Linked DNA regions of Drosophila melanogaster. The protein of the gene in region 2 interacts with the protein of the main gene of each other region in a pairwise test. Each region holds a gene or a part of one and is shown on either strand. Other genes may lie near its edges.

Region 1 (3,751 bases), about 17 Mb from region 2:
CGTTGACGTTCTTGGCAGCGAGCCAAGGCCTCAGCGCGCTCCTTATCCCTGGCTGCCTCCCGTTCCGCACGCTCGCGCTCCCGATCCCGACGATCTCGCTCCCGCAATGAGAGATCGTGGCGTTCGCGCTCTCTTTCTCGTTCTCGCTCGCGCTCCCTTTCCCGCTCCCGTTCCAGGGACGGAGTACGTCCACGTGCGCGGGTCTGGATGATGATCTTCTCTCGCGACATCAGTTGGTGATGCATTCGCGAGGATGAGCTGCTGCTGCCGCCTCCAAGACCAGAACCTAAACCTTAAAGTCAAGCAAAATTAATGGGTTAGTGGGTTGAGCCTAGACATAACTATATGTAGTATCTGATAGTTACCTGGACTCTTTTGCCGCTTACCCACGATGTCCTGATGGATGCGAATCTTGGTGGTGGTGGTAGTGCTGCTGCTCGGCGGACTCCTACTGCTGCCCAATCGATGATGGTCTCGCTCTCTGTCTCGTTGGACGACGCGCAGCTTGTCCCGCTCCCGTTGCTCCTTGCTGGCAGCCCGTAGCCTCTTTCGCTCGGCCAGCTTCTTTAGCTTGGCTCGCGTCGTCGGCGACAGGGAACGATGGACGTGACCACTGAGGGCGGCGGCCGCCCGTTTCTTAAGGCGCGCTTCCTTCAGTTTCCGTTTGATATGATTTCGCTTGGCCACCAGCTTCTTTTGCACATGATCCCGTTTGTCTCGCTTGCGGCGCGACGACGATGGTTCATCTCCGGACGAGCTGCCGCCGCGCCGTGAGCTCTTCTTTTTGCGATGATGACGCTCCGCGGAGCGCGGATGATGCCCATGGCCGTGGGTATGGGGATGACCGTGGACGCTGCCACTGCCGCCGGGACCACCGGCGCCACCAGGTACGCCCACCCCCACGCCGACGCCGCCCACGCCCTGCTCGCTGTCCGTGCTGCTGTACGAGCTGCTCCCGCTGTCGGAGTCCGAGGTGGAGTCCGAGCTGCTCGAGTGCGTCGCACTGTGACGGGCGGCCTTCTTGTAGCGGCGCAGCGACTCCTTGGCCTTCTTCTCCATCGCCGCGATCTCCGCTAGCCTGCGCGCCTCCGTTTTGGCTGCTTTCTTTTCGTACTCCGGTCGAAAATCAGCACGGCTATGCGGCTTATAACTAGTTGCAGCGTGTCTTGTGGTATAATGTCCTTGTTCGGAGGCGCGGACTTGCCTTGTTGTCTATTTTGTTGGCGTTTTCTTTAACTCTTCTTCTTCTCTATTTTCCTCTATATCTTCGTGTTTGTTGTTATCGATAGTCGATTGGCAGGGCATCGCGACCATCGATTACAGTCAGCACGGCGGTACATATCGATCGGTATAAGTTTGAAAATATTGTTTATTATTGTATCACATTATTATAATAAAATATAATTAAATAATTAAGTGCCTTTAACTATAAATAAATATTAATTTAACATTAAAAATATTATTAAAATTAATAATATTAATTAATACTTGTATTTATATTAATATATTGTATTTTTGTAACAATTTCTGCTTAAAATGAGTTCGGTTTTGGATTGAATTACAATTTCTATATCAATTTACCGGTTCAGCAACGGGGATTCAAATCTGACTTGTTATCCATTTTTATACCCGTTACTCGAAGAGTAAAAGGGTACCCTAAATTTGTTGAAAAGTATGTAGCAGTCAGAAGAAGGCGTTTCCGACCATGTACAGTATATATATTCTTGATCAGGAGTCGATCTAGTCATGTCCGTCTGTCCGCCATGTCCGTACCTAGAAGGTTGAGATCCAGCATACAGATTCTAGAGACAAAGACGTAGCGCAAGTTTGTTGATCTTTTTTCGCATTTTTATTAATCTTGTAAATTTCTATCGATTTGCCCAGAAAATGATAAAATTTCGCGTTCTCACATCCACTAGCTGAGTAACGGGTATCTTATAGTCGAGGAACTCTCTTTAGTTGATTTAAATTCCACGCATCCAAAACATTGTATAAAGCAGCCTGTTCTACTACTCAGTTAAACTGAACTTTTCATTTCGAAAAGATTTTCAAATCCAGCTGGCTATGCCTCTAGTGTCAAGTCGTATTACGGGCACTTCACCGGCTTCTCCTCAGTTTTGCTACACAGTTCGACACTTCAACACCTCAACACCTCAACACCTCATCGCCTCGGCACACATTCTCTCTCAACAAAAAAAAAAAAAAAACACATATATTTTTATAAGTACACATTTTAACTTAAAGTCTCATTCATTCGCTCGAAAACCGATGAATTTGTTGCGCCGGCAGCCTCGGCTGCTGAATAAACGGAGCACGTGGCTGTTTAGAAATTACGTGTTGGCCAACAGGGATGTGTCCGAACCCGTTTCCCGTCCTGCGGCGCCTATGTCCACCCTATCGATACCCGGACCAGCGCTGGCTGCCGCCACCCCAGTATCCGCCGTATCCCTGGTACCCCGGTGCACCCACTCCAGCCTCCAAGGAGGTGGACAAGGAGCAGGTTAGTTCTAAGTGAAAAGTTTTCTGATTCCACAATTTTCTGGGTTGTCAATGACTTTGTCATAATGACATTTCATAAATGACACCTGCACTTATTGATATGCTTAACTGAAATTTCTATATTCATTAAAGGAGGAAGAGGGCTCAGAGGATCAGCCACCGGAGGATCAGCCGCCGGAGGAATCGCCACAAAACGACAGTACTCCGGAGGAGCAGCCCCCGCCGGAGCCGCCAAGCCGGGAGGAGCAGCCCCCGCCGGAGCCGCCAAGCCCGGAGGAGCAGCCCCCGCCGGAGCCGCCAAGCCTGGAGGAGCAGCTGCCGCCGCCGCCGGATCCGCCAAGCCCGGAGGAGCGTCCACCGGAAAGCCAGCTTCGGGCAACGCACCAGCAACGCCTCCACCTCCACCACCTCCTCCGCCTGCTAAATCTGCACCCCCAGTGAAAGCGAAGAAGCCGCGATTGAAGACCTTCGAGATCTACCGCTGGAAGCCCGGGGATCAGCCGCAGACGCAGACCTACGAGGTGGACCTGGAGCAGTGCGGCGCCATGGTGCTGGATGCCCTGATCAAGATCAAGAACGAGATGGACCCCACGCTGACCTTTAGGCGCTCCTGTCGCGAGGGCATCTGCGGCTCCTGCGCGATGAACATCAATGGAACAAACACCTTGGCCTGCGTGTCGTCCATCGACCAGAATGAGAGCAAGTGCTGCCGCATCTATCCACTGCCGCACCTGTATGTGGTGCGGGATTTGGTGCCGGACATGAGCCAGTTCTACGATCAGTACCGCTCCATCCAGCCGTGGCTGCAGCGCAAGGATCTGAAGCGGGAAGCTGGAACGGCACAGTATCTGCAGTCCGTGGACGATCGTCTGGTGCTGGACGGGCTGTACGAGTGCATCCTGTGCGCCTGCTGCCAGACCTCCTGTCCATCATACTGGTGGAACAGCAATAAGTATCTGGGTCCCGCCGTCCTCATGCAGGCCTATCGCTGGGTCATTGATTCCAGGTGAGTGAGGCCATGTTGCTGCCAGTTTCCCCAGTGTGCTAAGATTTGCTTTGCAGGGACGAGGCCACCGAGCAGCGACTGGACTTTCTCAAGGACCCCTGGAAGCTATACCGCTGCCACTCGATCATGAACTGCACCAACACGTGCCCCAAGCACCTCAATCCGGCTAGAGCCATCATTCAGCTGAAGCAGCTGCTTGTGGGACTGAAGAAGAAGGGAAAACCACAACTCAAGACCGACGCCCTT
Region 2 (3,751 bases):
CCTCCTTTGAAATTATACCCAAAGAAGCCAACTGCAACAAATCGCCGGTTGTGCATGTGGAGCACAATCTGGGCCTGGAATCGTGGTGTGCCCAGCATGTCTACGACCACGCCCACCGCACCCTCATCTCCCATCGCCGTCAAACCACGGCGCAACAGCTGCGGACGCTGCAGCAGCAGCAGCAGAGCGACTCCCTGGCCAAATACCTAAACGTGGCTCTGCTGATTAATCCCGATGTGACCACCTTTTGGCACATCCGCCGTCAGCTGGTGCAAAAGAATCGGCTGAGCATCAACAAGGAGCTGCAGTTCTCCGCACTCGTGCTCTCAATCAAACCGAAGTCCAATGAAGCATTCGCCTACCGCCGTTGGCTGTACTCATTTCAAAGTAAGTGGACGTCGGCAACTGGGGATCCCATTTCATTCCATTATTTCCAGGTGCCGATGCTATTGACTGGCCCAATGAGATCGGGATATGCGAAAGGGCCGCCGATAGATGCGCCAGCAACTATCACGCCTGGTCGCACCGCCAGTGGATCCTTCAGAACGGCCCATGCCTGCTGCAATCGGAACTGCTACGCACGGAGAAGTTTATGCGGAAGCACATCAGTGACTACAGCTGCTACCACTACCGCCAAGTGCTCCTGAGTCGTGCATATGAGCTCAGTTTTGCCCTTCCCAAGGATTCCGGAGCCAGTGGTTCGTCTACGTTGGCCAGTCTGCAGCATCTAATGACAAGCTATGGCCTGGAATGTGAAGCCAACGCTGAGGATCTGCTGGGTCTCTTGCTACCACATGTGGATCTGAGTTCCGTGAGCAAGCAAAGGCTAATATCATTTCTTTACTGCTGCAACGTTGCCGCCAACGATATGCGTCTGTGTGCCGAGCAGCGCTTGATGTACGGATCGCGGGATTGCTTCGAGCTGCATCGCCGTGCGGCACTCAAGTTCATCGTGGAGCAGTGCGTGCGCCTGCAAATGGGCTTGCCCAATGGCCAACTGTTACCAGTGGCGTCAGGCGATCTGCGTTCGCATTTGGGCAACTTTGACTTTGAAGATAATCCGTTTTTAAGTGCCGTACGGCGCGAGGAGTCCACCCTGGGTGGTAAGCACCGGCGGTGGTGCAATCTTCACCTCAGCTTTGGATATCCAGCGGACTAGACAGCGCGACCTGATAAAGCTCAAATCAATCTACCCCAATAGAATTACTCACTCCCGGCCTTTCCGTTTGCCCATCCGTTCTGAAATGTGGCAAGTGTATAAAGACGTGTGTTTTATTTCCTATCTAATTATCGTCCCAAAAATACAGAAACTTGTGCAAGACAAATTGTTAAAGAGTAAAATACTAGAAAGGAAGACGATTCAAAACGGATTTGGAAACGGAAATGCCTCTATTCTACTCTACTATAAATGTGCGATCCAAAGACAAAGTTCAACTAGCCCGATATGACAACGGATCTCACTGGTCCGCCAATTGCATTTCGATATCTATTAGCGTTACCTGTTCGTTTCTGTTCTTAATCTGATCCGGGCACGATTTGTTAGCCCTTTGTTCAGAAGTAAAACTTAACCGATTATCGCCATGCCATGCACGTGTTTGTTGTTAGCCAATTGCAGTTAGTTTTTAAATAAATCCAAATCATAGACGACGCCTTTTTTATGCAGTTTTGAACGTCGAGCCAGTTCGGCTCGTTCATTTCGAGAATATCGATTCGGTAATGGCCGTAATGAGCACTCAAAATGCATTGTATGGGGGTTTCTTTTGCGCAGAGCAGTTGTAATATGGGATGGTATCGTTTTGTGGCGGTGCAGCCACAGCCATGACATCCCATCCCTTCCCCGAGTGAACTGGGGATTGTGGGGTAACGAGTATCGATTGCGCATGCCTGGGATGCGAGGTGGGATGTGCGAGATGCTGCCGAAGGCCTGAGATGACAACAATTTCAGCAGCGGACTCAGAATCGCCAGGCCGTAATCCCTACCAGCTTTTCAGTGTGTTTCTGGAGCAGTTCGCGTGCGGCGGTGTTTTGTGGAGTGTTGAGTGGCGAAAGTGCTGGCTTCTTTGAAGGCTTACAAACAATTTGTTTCCGACTCGTCGAAAAAAAGTGCATTCCAGTCAACCGAGAAATCAAAAGTAATAAACAAAGTATATTATTCGATTTTTTTTTTTAGTTTGCTGAACGGGGTTCCGTTTGTGGATACATGTGTACAGGCCAAGAGGATTTCAAGGGAGCATTGCATCGAGAGTGTGTGTGCGCTTTTCTGTGCCCGTCTTTGTTTGGTTTTAAAATATTCATATTCGTTTTCCATCCGCCCTCTTTGCATTTTTTATAACTCCCACCCACTTTTCCTGGCCCAAGGGGCGTGGGCCCAAAACTACGCCTCCATCGCAGTTCACTTCATGGGTGTGTGGTGTTCGTGAGGGGTGGGGGTTAGTTTATGATGTTTATGAGTTGATTATGGGCTGCAAAGTACTGTGCCATTGTCTTCGGGACCTGTTCCCTCCGGGCATCCCCAGGATCTTGTCCTGCACCATCCCGTCGTGTCCTGGAAATATACCTCGGAATACCTGACCCTGGGGCACCATCGGCTGCACATGTGTAGATAACACAAAATGGACACACCTGATGATTTTGTGCCAGTGTGGGGGGTGGGGTGTGTGTGCGAAGTTCCTACGGCCAAGGGAGCTATACTCGCGGCTGCACTAATAGCAGCGGCTAATAGGCACATTATTGAGTTGCCAAGTAATCCTACTAGTGGAAACTCAATCTAATTGGTGAGCATTAAGGTGCCACTTCCTTAGGACTTCAATCAGATTAGGATTAGCTAGCCTAGAAGCTTATTATTCCCACCATCCTATTTTTGCGACCGCGAGTGCCAGTGAATGTGCCAGAATGTAGTGAGTAAGTAACGGTAACGGCAACGGAAAGAACATGTGCGCATACGTAGGGCCTATGGCCCACATAAGTATGCAGTGCACGTACGGCCAGGTGTATGTGTGTGTGTGTGCGAGTAACGGTTTCCAGGTGCAGGTGTCAACTCGATAAGCAGCCGATAGATGGCGCTGCCGTTCAGGCCTCGCAACTTTTTCATTTCCTGTTTCCACTTCACAGTCATTCCGCTGCAGGAGAACAATATTTGCGTTTTGACACAGCCTTATACGCGGAATTGGGGGCGTGGCAGGTCGGCGGCGGACAATGAACCCGCCTACGCAGCAAGGACAATAATTGCAGACTGGATTGGAATGGGATGCCCGTGGAGCAGCAGCATGAGTTCGCCGTTTTGGAGCGATGGCAGTACTGGATTCGCAGTGGCCCCACAATCCACATAACTCGCACTACGGGCGCTAGGTTTTGATAAGTTGGCAATAATCGCCGGAAATGGGCAGTCTGCCGAATCTTCACGAGCTGGAGGAGGCGGAGCGCAAGCGGGAGAAGCGACGGGAGTACGAACTTCTGCTGGAGCAGCGGGCTCGGGACACCAGTCGCGAGCGGGAGCGTCTCTCCGCGTTTGCTCAGCAGCGCAAGGTGAGATCGCCTGAGTAGATCCCCCCTCCTTACGACTTATGTATTTTTCTACTCCACTCAGCAATCGTCGTATAATGCTTACATAATGGCTGGTCTGGGGATTGGTGGCGGATCCTTGAGCCTCAATGCCACCTCAGGAACTGCAACAGGCAACGGAGAGCTGCTCGGTGGCAATGGGACAACTGGCGGAAAGGGTCCGAACCAGGCAGTGGGCCCAGCTTCTGGA

Evidence for each region. The genes of interacting proteins can lie anywhere in the genome.
Region 1: the proteins of CG3078 (region 2) and SdhBL interact in a two-hybrid assay, tested with the Drosophila melanogaster proteins (one large-scale study listed by BioGRID).

What each region holds. Positions count from the first base shown.
Region 1 is NC_004354.4:18,892,394-18,896,144, forward strand, and holds the start of SdhBL (succinate dehydrogenase, subunit B (iron-sulfur)-like), read left to right. Parts: upstream 1-2,052; 5' UTR 2,053-2,268; coding exon 2,269-2,500; intron 2,501-2,631; coding exon 2,632-3,505; intron 3,506-3,561; coding exon 3,562-3,751. Other genes in the region: Flacc (Fl(2)d-associated complex component), read right to left, coding at 1-292, 366-1,059.
Region 2 is NC_004354.4:2,258,102-2,261,852, reverse strand, and holds the start of CG3078 (uncharacterized protein), read left to right. Parts: upstream 1-1,989; 5' UTR 1,990-2,132; intron 2,133-3,111; 5' UTR 3,112-3,378; coding exon 3,379-3,525; intron 3,526-3,586; coding exon 3,587-3,751. Other genes in the region: temp (tempura), read left to right, coding at 1-387, 438-1,159.